2 linked regions of the Oreochromis niloticus genome follow. The protein of the gene in region 1 purifies or fractionates together with the protein of each later gene. This does not show direct contact. Links are inferred from orthologs where the notes say so. Each region holds a gene or a part of one and is shown in the gene's direction. Other genes may lie near its edges.

Evidence for each region. Proteins that work in one complex are often made in the same cells at the same time.
Region 2: the proteins of kinesin-associated protein 3 (region 1) and kif3b purify together in Homo sapiens (co-immunoprecipitation; 7 studies listed by BioGRID and IntAct, counting the BioPlex papers as one, with this or other methods). This does not show direct contact. The link is inferred for Oreochromis niloticus from reciprocal best matches to the Homo sapiens genes KIFAP3 and KIF3B.

What each region holds. Positions count from the first base shown.
Region 1 is NC_031982.2:1,955,695-1,962,867, forward strand, and holds the start of kinesin-associated protein 3, read left to right. Parts: upstream 1-4,152; 5' UTR 4,153-4,271; coding exon 4,272-4,312; intron 4,313-5,325; coding exon 5,326-5,457; intron 5,458-6,354; coding exon 6,355-6,512; intron 6,513-6,832; coding exon 6,833-6,894; intron 6,895-7,064; coding exon 7,065-7,173. UniProt on the Homo sapiens protein: Involved in tethering the chromosomes to the spindle pole and in chromosome movement. Binds to the tail domain of the KIF3A/KIF3B heterodimer to form a heterotrimeric KIF3 complex and may regulate the membrane binding of this complex.
Region 2 is NC_031984.2:32,957,619-32,965,083, forward strand, and holds the start of kif3b (kinesin-like protein KIF3B), read left to right. Parts: upstream 1-4,465; 5' UTR 4,466-4,618; intron 4,619-4,667; exon of another isoform or gene 4,668-5,232; intron 5,233-5,685; 5' UTR 5,686-5,784; coding exon 5,785-7,188; intron 7,189-7,465. UniProt on the Homo sapiens protein: Microtubule-based molecular motor that transport intracellular cargos, such as vesicles, organelles and protein complexes. Uses ATP hydrolysis to generate force to bind and move along the microtubule. Plays a role in cilia formation.

The sequences.
Region 1 (7,173 bases):
ACGCAGGTGTTCCGACTGTACAAATCACAGGTCCGTGCTCGCGTACTTGAGAATTGAGAAACATCCCACGAGTCCGTGCTCGCGTTCTCGGCGAGTACGTACTCGCGTACTTGAGCATTGATAAACGGCCACTGTGTCGAGGCCATTGACTGTAGAAAACATGGACGACGCGACTCCGCCTCCTACCATTGTGCAAAAATGAAGCCAAAATATCCCGCTTGTGGAGGCTGCCATCTTGCAAATTTGGAGCCAGAGTCTGCGCAGTAGTGACTTGAGGTGGAGCGACTGTGTAACGTTCCCGCCCACACACCCGCTGGACATGACCGCAAACACGCCCCCCTACACTTTTTACGTAGCCCGGCTGCTCGAGTTTTTTTGCTGGTTTACCGCGACTGACGACTCGTTTAATTAAGGTAAATACAACCATGTCACTGTTATAAAAGAAGACACACAGCTTATCATCTTATAGTTCTAAAATCACTCTGTTGTTAATTCGTTAGTTAGATTAGCCGCTAGCATACGCACTGTGTTGGAGGCTTGTTGCTAGCTAGTTAGCGATGCTACACACCTGCTACTCTAATAGTCTGTGTTATTGAAGGATTCATCACTTCTTATGTTTGTTTTTATCCATTTTTAGACAGCGATGAGATCATCTGCACACTCTACAGAGGCCCAGAGTTACTGTTAATATCAAAAATATAATGCTGTCCTTTGAGATTTTAACATAAGACTGTGAGTGTAATGGATCTAAAACTGTTTAAATCTTCAGAGCCCTCTACCGTACTCTACAGCCTGGTAACATGGAGACTTTAAAAAAAACAGCAGAACGTTTCAGTAGTGTAGTCTAATTTGTTCTTTTCATTTAATAATAGAGTCCATATTTTATCAACAGCTACATTCACCCTGGAGAGAAACTAGTGAGGGAGACCATCAGGACCAAGCTGGGTTTCCTGGGTCCAGAGGTTTAGAGAAACTTCTTCCTTTTCTTTCATCACAGCTGTCCTGTGCCAGAAGTTCTGTTGACCCACTGAGAGAGGCTTCATTTAAGAAACACCAAGAAGACTGAAGCTCATGCATAGATCAAGCAGGACTCATGATCTTCACCAGCAGCTCCCTCACAGGGAAATCTTCAGCACTCCTCCGTAGGCCCGATCCAGGAGATGGATAAACCCAGCATTTCATGAATACTGTGATGGAGACCTTTGGTTTGTGTAATGTTATAAATACTCGGATACTCCCCAGAGGCTCCAGACTTTTACATAAAGATATTATATTCAGTCCTGTAGAAAGTTATATATTTAAAAAAAATATATGATCCTCTCTGGTTACTCTGGTATGAATAACTCTGAATCACTTTATGGTAAATAACACACTATCTGCAGAAAACTGTGAAAGAATTCCAGATGACAAGTTTGTAGTTCAACATACAAGTGACGACCTTTGACCTTCATCAGGTTTTATTTAATTGTGCCAGAGAAAATCTCATATGCTCTTCATGCAGCTGAGTACATCAAGTGTTTAAAACGGAAGCTGTGCAGGTCTGAGATCAGCAGCTTTGTGAAACACCAAACTGAGGTCCTGTTAATGCTGATATATAGTGACACAGTTACATGAGTGATTAATCCTTTTGTTTTTTTGTCTTTAACTTTATCAATAAAGCTGCAGCTTTCACTACAGGACATGTGGTACTTTAACCTTTGTACTGTTTTCATCAGTTCATTTTGCAGTTAACATGTTGGATGATCTGTCTGCTGTCACTGGGTGGTGCTGAGGTCTGAATCTGAGGGCAGCTCCTGTAATCACAAAGAGAACAGAACCATCAAACTCAGATATAAATTTTATCCCTCAAAATTGAAATAAAGCTGATTCTTCTGTCCTCACACACTCAGGATCTGAAGTTCTTCTCTTACATTTTTTTCAGTATTACAATACACTACAGTACTTTAATCCATAGTTCCTGATTAATGAGGAGTTACTGAAGTACAAGCTTTTAAAAAAATGTTACTGTCTTTACAGATGTGGCAAGAGACTGAAAACATGCTGCTGTTTGCATATATTTGATATTCAGTTCTGCACAGGAGCTGAAGCAGGGTGCAGCCTGTTGCTTTTACAGTATAATACTTGTAATAAAAGTACAGTAACAGTAATTAGTGACTGATTAGCCCGGAACGTTTCTCTTAATTTCTTTAGTAAGTTCATTCACCTGCACAGATTAGCTAAACGAACCCTGACAGCCGAGTGCTCATTTTAGCTAGCTAGGTCTCAGGACATAGCTAAGGACAGTAGTTACGGATTAGCTTACAAACACGATTAACTTACCGAAAAATGCAGCGGGGCCTCGGGTCCTTCTGTCGGGTAGTCCAGTTTACTGAAGAACACCTCGGGCTGTCAGGTTAAAACACTCGGTCGTGTTTTCGTAGCGTAAACGCTGGCCCTCCTCTCAGAGCCTACGCTCTATCTGCTATTCCCGAACACAGATACGCAAGTTTCTCCGTGACTGCAGCTGCCAGTCAAAGCTGCTATGATGACGTTTCACCCCAATTTAACATCGCCGCTGTAGGAATTAGAATCAAACTTATGGGAAAGGAGACCCCTTGGACATCAATCAGCATGATGAGAACTATTGATAACAAAAGAAAGAATCTTTGGAAAAAAATTATCTAAGGAGAATAAATTTATTTTATTCTGACCCCAGTCCCATCCGCTAACATGGAGGAGGCGGGGTTTATGACCTATACTGCAGCCAGACACCAGGGGGCGATAGAGACGTTTTGGCTTCATTTTTGGGGAGCTGTGGCGTCGTCCATGTTTTCTACAGTCAATGGTCGAGGCTTGCTTCGTTTGGCAAAAGTCACGTGACCAGAGACGTCCGAAGCTTCATTACGCACGTAACTCTCATTTGCGGGATTTGTGGAGTGTCTTGATGGTGACAGATAGCGAACCACTGATCATTCTACTGAGAGATTTGGTTCTGTTGTGTGGGAGTATTTTGAGTTGATTCTGGTCAATCGGGTGGGTTTTCCAGCTTTGTGTTCTGGCTGTTTGCTTTTGTTTTGTGCGTCTTTATTTTATCTGAAAACGGGAAAAACTTAAAATGTAAAAAATCTGCTTTTCATAATATAAATATCATTAAATAACTTCCATTTGACTCGTAACATTTAATGTTATAAAAAGATATATTTTATTTAAAAAAATAACCTTAAAATGTTAGTCTACAAAATGTGCAGCAATTTAATTTATTTATTCTCTTTAGCTGATAGTTTGTGGAGCCATAACTGCATCTCTACCAGTTTTTCTGCACTCCAGCCTCTTCTGTGCCATGTGAAGGGATTTTCCTTAAGGCAGGAGAAATTATCTGAACGAAAAGGAACAGATTCGGCCATCGCACAGTGGAACTAATTTTCTTCTTAAATAAAAATGAAAAAGGGTTTCCTTAAATGCATCATGTTTTTAATTTGCAAGTTCATGAGCATTTCCCTTTCCATTTCACAATCAATTCTACCCCCAGGTCAAAAATATGTATAGACAAATTTCCCTAATATAATATTATTTATAAATATACCCGTCTAGAGATTAAATGCATAAGTACATGGAGGCAGGACCTCACAGCAGAAGCATACTGCATAATGTGCATTATTATATGTATGTTATATGTAACGTGGTATTTTTCAATTATTGTATTTACCAACATCAAGAAGTCACAAGCAAAGAAAGACCAAACCATGGTGCATGTTCACACAAGGAAAGTTTACTGGTCAAAATTATTTATTAAACAAATAAACTACATTTTTTAACACCAAAAAATACACGTTCAAAGCAACACAACAGCAGCCCAATATGAGACAGAGTTCCACTCTGTAGAGTGAGCTATCATTATGAAGCAGTTGGTTTTATTTTGTGGATTCAAGCTGCTCTTCATATTTTTGGCCACCAGATGTCACCAGAGAGGACTGTGTTGAAAAGCTTCCAGTAATGAACCGTTTTTCAATACAAGCTTCAGTGCTTCAGAAAGCTTCATTTGGCCATCACTACTGTATTGTGTGCTTTGTCAATAAAGCGTATTCCAAAAAAAAGCGTGTTTTGCTGCCCATTTTATTTCGAATCTGTCGCGAACCGGCGGGCCAGTTACTGAATCAGTCACGTGGTACGAACGCTACTGCATACGTAATCAAAGCGAGCCTCGATACGCGCTTCACAAAAACTCCCCCGAGCTTCGACACATCAGTACTGTTACGTTCATTAAAAAATATTGAAGTTTAAATCTGAGGAAGATGCAGGATGATGCACGTTATCTCAAACGGTCAGTCATAACGTGAGTTTATTATTCTAAGAGTAATGTTATCGTTTGCTAGCTACGGTCTCTTGTACGCCAATTTAAGTAATATATGGTGTCCATACTATCACGTCAGCTTTACTGTGAACGTTTAACAAACACTTGGAAGATAAGAGGAAGCGTTTTTTAAATTGAAATTCTTGCTAATTAGCTTGCCCTGATCCATGGCATTTCTCTATATAGCGCGATGTTTAATTACCTTTCCAATCTGGGAAATTTCCTGTTTTCTTGCTCGGTGCAGAATGCGAGCATATAATTGTTTTTGTTTTAAATGAATAACGACAACGTGCTGGTCCGTTTGGCGTACATGCAGTTGACAGAAAGGTCACTTAAAATATCTCACAATTTAAATCAGCCTTCATGCTTCTATTCACATCCCGTTCGTTAGCACAGTTACCCAATTATTTCTAAAAGGAGCCTACAGTGCATGACAACTTATAAACAAATAACGACTGATTTCACGTTTTCCACTGACTTATAAATCCGCCAGTAAAATAATAAACCCAGTTCAAGAATGTTTCATTCTTGAACTGGGTTTATTATTAGCTTCCCTACGTGAAGGGGGATTGGAACTCTGAATTTCAGCTAAAATAGCTAGCAAGCTTCCGTGCTAAACTGTGGTGGATAATCGCTAGCTAATTGCATGTAGTGTTGAATTTATTTGCAATCAGGGGTTTGCACCGAGTTGAGCTCATGTTTGTCATGCTTCAACTCTGTGAAATCGTGTTTTATTGTTAGCCGGCTAGCCAGTATAGTAATATTATGCTACTGTCTGGGCGTGTCTTCCTATGCGTTATTGTTAGTGCTGGTGATTTGTTACTGGCTTGGCAATTAACGACCTATTTTCTGTAGCAACATGTAAAGTCATTTTGTTGTGAAATGAACTTGCTAGCTGCTTTGCGTCCGATGCAGTTATTATATGGTATGATGTAAATTAAATAACTGGAATGTGTTTACCGTATTTTGTACTGCCTGTTCTTGATCACTCAAAGCAAAGTGACTGTGGGCGGTTTGGACGTCCATCCCACAGAGAAGGCCCTTGTAGTCCACTATGAGGTGGAGGCATCTATCCTTGGAGAGAGTGGAGGACATATGCTTGGAGAACGCAAGGAGGGACAAAAAATGTAAGCGGCCTCTTGACTCACAGCTCCTAAACACTTCATTTCAGTTTCCTTTTGAACTCGAAATCTTTTTTTTCCTTAAAAAGGAGAGCTTTTAAGTTGATTGGATTAGATTTTTATGTCAAATTAACCTTTGTCAGTCTAATCCATCTAAACTGGACAGATAATTCGTAATCATTTCTTCGTATATTTTAATAGTGAGGACAACTAAAAATAAAATGTAACAAATTCCATACATTTTGCAATGAACTTTTATTCCGTTGGTGGATGGTAACAAAGCCATGTTACAAAACAATGTTTTGGTCATGTGCTGACATATTTCTATCAGTTAATATTGCCCCATTTACTAATATATACCTATTTGTAAATAAGGTAACATTTACATGTGTCAGTGGCTCATATTTATCTGTTTTGTCACATTAATTTCATTCTGCCAGCAAGTGACGTTAGCATAATTGGGCAGCATATACTGTATATAAAAGACGAATGTAGCTTCTAGGTTGGAAAAGTAAGTCCCAATAATCAGCAGCAAAGGATTTATCTGATTGGAAAATGACTTTATGGTCTTAACTGCTGCTAATAAACGCTAATAAATAAGGTTTTGTTGCAAGGCAGGCCTAACTAGATATTCTACTACCATTTGAGCGTGTCTGTCTTTAGGTTTTACATCACAACAGGACCTCACAAACAAACTAGTGGGTGACATCATGACAGTGTCTTTTACATTAGGTTTGTGAAAAGAGGACTATTCTGCCTGAGGAAAGGATTAAAAAGATATGTATTATTTATGCTAGGAAAAAAGGGTGTTGGGCCACAGTTTTACAATCAGTATATTTGTTTTGAATTTAATGAAACCTGCTAGCTTCTGCTTTCTCTTCTGCTCTTTTTTTCATGCTCCAGTATCCGCATGAAAAGTCTTTCTCCTAGTACAGATGTGGGAGCTTTGGCAAAGAAAGTGCTGGAGGAGTGTAAGATGATCCCTGCTTCCCGTCTGCCCCAGGTGGAGCAGCTCCTGTACTACTTGCAGAACAGGAAATCATCCCCAGTGGAGAGCAAGGGTTAGTCATACCACCTTCATTGCACCTGTGCTCTGGAGCCCAAAATCTTTACTGTCCAATTCCGACTTTGGCTAACTTCAGTCCCACATGTAGATTGGCAGCTTGTTAGTCCAGCATGTACTGTAAACATTCTAGAAATATTAAGACATGTAAGGAGGTTGTAGTGTAATGGCAGACCTAAAGTATGCACTGTGATGCTAATAAAAGAAAATGTAAACTAATGCAAGTTAAGTTTCAAGTTTTCAAGTTTGGAATTAATGCTGATGTGCTTTATCTTGGCTGTTTGTTTGTGTGTGTGTGTGTGTGTGTTTTGTCACCAGTGGAAAAAAAAGAAAAAAGAACAGTTAAGCCCAAAGAATTGACACCATTTGAAGGCATAGAGGTAACCATTTGTTCCACTGTAGTTTGATCTCACACAGCAGTAAGCACGTGTTCTGTCTTCATTATAGCAACAACTCGAAGTTGCTCAAATGTGTTGTTTAAATAGTTTGGCTGGTGAAAGAATGCATTTGTTATCAGTCAATAACTTTGTGTGTCTGTTTGTGTTTGTAGTTAAATGAGGAGGCCAGTATAACTAGAGTGGATGAGTATATTGAACTGCTCTATGAAGGGATTCCAGAGAAGATCAGAGGCTCAGCTCTCATCCTGCAGCTTGCCCGTA
Region 2 (7,465 bases), on another chromosome or scaffold:
ATGAGTGAGCCCTGCAAACCCTGTGGATGGAGGATGCAGTGGACAGTGGGAGGAAGCATCCTGAAGCTCTCTTTGCAGACCACCCTGTGTGATTCTCCACTCACAGACCAGAAAAGACAAACCGCAGGTCTCAGTTGCAGCAGCTCATCCACGTCTGATCTTGCTCGGGCAGATTCAGCAACACTGCCAGAGACTTCCTGTAATCTATTACAGTTGTTCAAAAAACGGTCCAGGAACAGGTTACTCAGGTTAATCCTGTGTGAACAACTGAAAATATTGTTGTTTCATCTTTACATACTGTGTATTTGAAATATTCTTGTTTAATTGTTATTGTTATTTACTTTATTGCTATCAAATAAATATCCAAGTAATATTGTTCAAAGTTAGCGTTATGTTCATACGTGTTACAAATGCCTGTAAATCACATTGAGTTCAGTGACAGTTACTGTTTGTTTGAATCAATTTATTAATAACATAAAACCTTTAAACTAATGCAACACATATAACAATGTAACAAATATATTCAAATAAATAAATTTCTCAATACATAACTCATTTGGGAAGTAATCTTTCTAGAAGTGAAAACAGTCTGTCCGTCCTCTCCCTGCTCTCCTCTCCTCAGCCTCTCTTTGCTGCCTCATGTCCGCTCTGATGAGGTCTAGCAGCTCATCATCCCTGTCTCTTTTCCTCTTTCTCCCTGTCGTAGGTGGCTGAGCCGCCTCGTCATTGCTGTCGTTTTGGTCACCCACTGCTGTGCTTGGCCCTGGACTGTCCTCAGGGAGAGAGGAAATTAGGACAGGAGGCTTAATGGAAGGCATCTGTCCTATCACCTCATCCATGAGGGCAAACCAGGGCCAAGTAGCAGCAGTGGGCTTCCCACTGACCCCCTCTCCTGAGCCTGGATACTTGCAATCCTAAAGGCAGAGGAAATCAAACACAGCAGGCAAATAAAAACACCACAACAACTCTTAGTAACTCTTGCACATTTATTAACTTGTGTTCTTAAGAATTATCTTCTTGATAACACACATACGTACTTTGTATTCTTTAAAGTTATCTCATGTCTTCTGGCCTGCAAGGGGGTGACTTTCCCCTGCAGGCCCATCTTCTCCAGAGTTGTCCTGATCACACACAACAAATAAGAGAAGAAAGGACACCATGGCAACTATGTTAATCCCTAAATCCAAAAGTTTCACAGCAGAACACCAGAGGAATGCCGTCTGGACATCACAGGTTCTGTACAGCAGCGGTCCGTGAGTCGTTTGGTACCGGGCCACAGAGTTAAGGCTCTGGTGTGAAATTTATGGTTTTCAGGGGTTTTGTCGTTGACTCGGTTTCCCTGGGTCTTTTCCCGTGTTGTAGTAAATATTTACACGTTACCATAGCGACCAGAGAGCATTAAGCGGCAGAGAGGAGGATGTTACTGTCAATATTGGCGCATTTTCAGGAGGACGCTGCTAATGAAGTTACACAATTACACAGTACATTCACGTTTATTATTATATTTACATAATACCACAGTTTTTGTCTTGGTCGGATCATTTTATGTGGTTGTATTTATCCGCGATACCTTAAAGGCTCCGTGTCTGACATAAACCGGTCTGTGGCGCAAAAAAGGTTGGGGACCGCTGCTGTACAGCACGAGGGTTAATAGGACCGAACTCATATGAATATGATGCGTAAATTGATTTATTCATGTACATCCACGCGGTAACGGCCCAATTCTTCACCCCAGTGAAGAGGTGATCGTTTTCTCCTCGTTTCAATAGATTAAGCCGTTTGGTCTTTGTTCCCCACAACATATCACCAATTTGGAAAACTCAAAATTAGCTGTATGTAAGCGGCAATACAATCGCGGGACCCCCGATACAAGCTGGTTTACGGTTATTTTAAAGAAAAGAAACATGTCTATGCAGATGCCCAAAGCTTAACAAAACGACCGCCATAACAATTTAACTTTTGTACAACCAGATTTTCATATACTTACATTTGAAAGTGTTTTCCTCTCCTGCTTCGACCACCATCGTTATCAGAAACAAATCTCCTCTATGACCCGCAATGAATCCTGGGATACAGTAGGACATGAAGGATACATCGGACCATCCTTAGAATTCAGGGCAAAGTAGGACGCATTTGTCGCCACATTTTGAGCACTCTTTGAATTCGGACAGCCTTCGTCGCGTCACCGTGACATCATTGACTCCAAAAATGGCATTTTAAGCATCCTTCCCCTGAATTCGGACACGACTAACCCTCAAATTCGCGGAAAAGTAGGACACATTTGTCGCCACATTTTGAGTGCTCTTTGAATTCGGACAGCCCTCGTCGCGTCTCTGTGATGTCATTGCCTCCAAATATGGCATTTTAAGCATCCTTCCCCTGAATTCGGACACAGCCTAGGTTTTAGTCTTGATTGTCACACTCTAATTTCTATGTGCATTTTATTTGAGAAATGAGTGCTGAGCTTGAGGCCTAAAGAATAAATGTATTATGCTTCTGTAATAAAACACCAATTTCAAACATTAGCTGTCTGACTGTAGTTCAGTCATTTGGATGTAACTGCATTAATGCAAATGTCTAAAAGTAGTTTCTATCCAGGTTTTTAGACTGTGGAAGTGATATTTTTTTTTTTTATTTTTTTTTTTTTGTGTATACAAATGCAATCAATCTTGAACTCAGCTTTTAGAATGTTATGTCATTCATGGACCTGACCAGTGCAAGTTAGGTTAAGAAAAGTGCATGCAGCTTAAGACGGGGAATTTCAACACTGTATTTTTCCACATTCATTTAAATTTACAGCTAAGAGTGGAACTATGAAATGTACATGCATATGTACTCACGCAGTTTTTTCCAGAAGCTCAGAGCAGATATTACAATATATTTCAATATTCACCGTTCACTCCTCTCCCCTCTGTCAGAGCTTCTGTTCGTCAACTAGTAGTGGGTTGGAAGCAGGGAGTTTCTGGAGCACTATTAGAAAACCAGTCTGTCAATAAACACTTTGAACCTGCCAAGTGGTGTTTTTTTTTTTTGTTGTTTTTTTTTATTTTTATTTTGCTCTTTAAGTCCTTTTTTGCCAAAATATGACACCAGGTCATATTCTTGAACAGTAATATATGACGAGAGGGCAAGATGCAGGGTTGACATCCAAAGTCTCATGCAGTCATGTGGACTAAGAAACTATATACAGTAGATGAACATGATGTAAAAGTTATGCGATTAAGAAAAAGAAAAAAATCTAGCGAAGATGGGACCTGAGAGATGCATCTGGCCGTTCATTTGATCCGTTGACTGTTTGCTGAAGCGTCATCAGAAATGAAATCAATGGAATAATTTTGTATAAGAAGCAAAGGATTCAAAACTGACTCTATTTGAAGATTGAAAAAAACAAACAAACAAAACAAAACAAAAATGGAGCTCTGTGGATAAAAACACCCACTTTTCAACAGTTGTAAAAGATGCATTCAGTTCATAGTGCTATCTCATGAGACGAGCAGAGAAGGATGGATCTTAGTTTCGAGCCTAGGCTTTGGAAGGCACCCTAGTACAAAAAGATGCTTATTTAGTACAACTTTCAAAACATTTTGGCAAGTTGTAGAAATATTTTGGTTTTCAATTCTGATAATATTTGTATTCATTTAGGCCAACTGGGGTTTGTATCTCATTCAAAAGTGAAGCTTAGTTCAGCTTTAGTAGCACAGATTCACTGGAGTGTATGTGCGATGGCCCAGTGGCTGTTTTGATCATAAAAATTGTGAAATTAATAAAAAAAAATACTTTTTTATTATCATTATTGATCCTTTCTGCCCAGTCAACTAAATTGTCTCTGCTTTGCTCTGATCCAACCTAGAATCTCACTATGGCGAACTTTAACACACACACACACACACACACACTAAAACACACACATTCACGAAGAAGGCGGAGAGTTTACGGCTAGGAAGGAGGTCAATTTTAAAAATGTGCTCATGTGTGGGCACCCAGTAGAGGGAAGGACGTCTTTGAAAGTTGCTGAACTTTGCTGGACAAGTGCAAAGAATGAAATGACAATTCCTGCCTAAGGAATTAGAAATAGGCGGTAATGTACCATACAGGATACAAGCTGTTGTTAAACCTATAAGGCCCTTTGTATCATATTTGATACATGAGTTTCTGAGACCTGAGAGCTCATCAACATGATCAAAACTTGCCATAATTTCAAAATGTTATGGACAAAACTCTATTTTGTCTAAAAATAACATCGTTGAAATAGTTGCCAAAAACGCCCAATGTATCAAATGCGATATAAAAAATATATCATCAGTATATAATAAAAATATGTCATACACAACATGATATAGCAAAAAAAAAAAAAAAAATGTGGATTTTGTTATAAGGGTTAATAAATATCTCAGTTCCAAAAAATCTAAATTTTCTGGTTACTTTTTGATGGGTTAGGTCTTACAGGGTTAAACGCCAGAATTCACGTGATCATTTTTGGCCACTTCCAGCACCCGTTCCGTAAATTCTCGAGGAGACGCGCAACAAAATCGGTCCGCTGCTGGTTCGGCAGGAATTTTGCCATCGACGATTCACTTCATCGCAGTGGGAGTTTTGCGTAACCTAACGTTTGTCACTGGTAAGTGTTAAATTACGTTTCTGTGTGGCTGGTGTAAAGTTGTGTTTGTAGGTTTCACGAAATTTCGCGTAGCGATATACTGAATTAATCTTTACATTTGCTAAGAGTGTTAGCCGGGCAGTGCTACCAGATTTGTAGCTTAGGTTACCAGTTTGTTTGCAGTTGCTAGCCTAGTGTTTTGGTCTCGTTATGGGACGTGTTTAACATGAGCTAACGCTAGAAAGCTGATCCGTTAGTTTGACAAATCACGTTTACTAACGTTTACTAAGCTGCTACCGTAAAATGGACCATTTATCAAATTTCTTTCTAACGGCTGTCATTTAATAATCTGATATTCCAACTTTAAACCAGGGTGAGGTTTCTTCACCTAATTAGCTAAATTCCAGTTAGCCAATTTAAAGTAGTGTCATTGCTATATGCTCTGACAGAACAGTGTATCGGTGGTATTGTTTTTTTCAGTTTGTATGTGAATAGAAAAAACGGTTATTTATTTAAACAACTGTAATGTGTGCTTATGCCTGTTGCTGTGGTATTTTACGGTGATAGCTGGAAAAGTCTTAGGAAGCTTAGTTTTATTATGTGCAAGGGAACGGCTGCTCAGATGTAAGTGCCAGGTAAGCAGTGTCGCTGCCTATCGGTTACCTTAACCAAGTGGGTGTCCCTTTTTGTCCTTAAGTAGTTAAAAATACTTTTGACCTTTCCCGAATCAACTAGAGTCTGAAGAAACAACAGTCATTACCATATGTCCAAAACATCTATATGTTGTCTTAAAGAGACACAAGCTGTTTGAATTAGGACTGGGGTTTAGTTCTTTGTAATACCCCTTTCTAGCACAAGGTAGTGCAGTGAGCCAGTGGAACCATCATCTTCCACAAAGTCGTGCAGAAGTGAGGATATCTAAAAACACATGAAATTTACAGAAGTTAAGCACTAGTACTTATCCTAAATCAAAACACCCGCTTGTAAGCAGTGCCATCTGGTGGCAGAATTTCACTGTAAGAACTTTTAACCTGTGTGATGCTTTAACCATCAGCTGAGATGTAATTCACTGATTGTTTTCACCCCAGCAGTGTCAGATTTGGGCAATCTATTGCTGAAGTGTTACTAAAGCTGCTCTTTAGGAAGACAAGGTGCCAAACAGCAAGGATTGGCAGGTGCTCCTCACCATGTCCAAGAGCAAGAGCTCAGAGTCAGTCAAGGTGGTGGTCCGTTGCCGTCCTATGAACGAGAAAGAGCGGGCCGCCAAGTATGAGAGCGTGGTGTCTGTTGATGTCAAACTGGGCCAAATTATTGTGAGAAACCCAAGGGAGTCCTCGGGCAACGAACTGCCCAAAATCTTTACATTTGATGCTGTTTATGGTTGGAACTCCAAACAGCTGGAAATGTATGATGAAACCTTCAGGCCCCTGGTTGAGTCTGTTCTTCTGGGATTTAATGGGACCATCTTTGCTTATGGCCAGACAGGTACAGGGAAGACTTACACTATGGAAGGGGTGAGAAATGATCCAGAGAAGAGAGGGGTGATCCCAAACTCCTTTGAGCACATCTTCACACACATTTCACGTTCACAGAACCAACAGTACCTTGTCAGAGCGTCATACTTAGAAATCTACCAGGAGGAGATCAGAGACTTGCTCTCAAAAGATCAGTCACGTCGTCTCGAGCTCAGGGAGAGGCCCGACACAGGTGTGTATGTTAAAGATCTTTCATCATTTGTTACCAAGAGTGTGCGAGAGATTGAGCATGTCATGAATGTGGGCAACCAGAATCGATCAGTTGGAGCCACTAATATGAATGAGCACAGCTCACGCTCTCACGCCATTTTTGTCATCACGGTGGAGTGCAGTGAGTTGGGTGTGGATGGAGAGAACCACATAAGAGTTGGCAAACTCAACCTGGTGGATTTAGCTGGCAGTGAAAGGCAAACCAAGACTGGAGCTCAGGGGGAGAGGCTTAAAGAAGCCACAAAGATAAATCTGTCACTTTCTGCTCTCGGTAATGTCATATCAGCTCTGGTGGATGGCAGGAGCAGCCACATCCCTTACCGAGACTCGAAGTTGACACGTCTGCTACAGGACTCCCTTGGGGGCAATGCCCGCACTGTCATGGTTGCCAACATTGGCCCAGCATCCTATAACGTGGAGGAGACCTTAACAACTCTGCGCTATTCAAACAGGGCAAAAAACATCAAGAACAAACCACGTATCAATGAAGATCCCAAAGATGCCCTGCTCAGGGAGTTTCAGGAGGAGATTGCCAGGCTGAAGGCACAGCTGCAGAAGCGTTCAGGAAAGAAAAAGAGAAGGCGGCTGAGGAGGAGAGCAGGGGAAGGGAGCGATGATGAGGGTCTGGAAAGTGGCGAGACAGAGGACGATGAGGAAGATGGAGACGACAAGGGGGACTACTGGAGGGAACAGCAGGAGAAGTTGGAAAAGGAGAGAAAAGCAATCCTGGACGATCACAGCCTGGTAGCTGAGGAGAAAGCGCGGCTTCTTAAAGAGAAGGAGAAGAAAATGGAAGACTTGCGGAAGGAGAGGGAGGCCGGAGAGAAGCTTGCAGCCAAAGTTAAGGTAAGCAAATATTTAAGTTCCAAGAGTTTCAAGAAGTTTGTCATTTCGTTTGGTGTTACCCAGGCTGAAGCAAATACTGTTTCTCACCAGCCTCTACAGTGCAATAGTCAATACAAATTTTAAAGAGCAGTAAAAAGGCAGTAATAAATCATAGCAATAAATTGGGATAAATAACACAAAATCTAAATACTAAAACAAACTCAAGTCTAAATAGTCATACTCATTCAGGTAGCAGCAGTCCTTTTACAGAAGGGGGTAATTAAATTAAGTAGTGTGC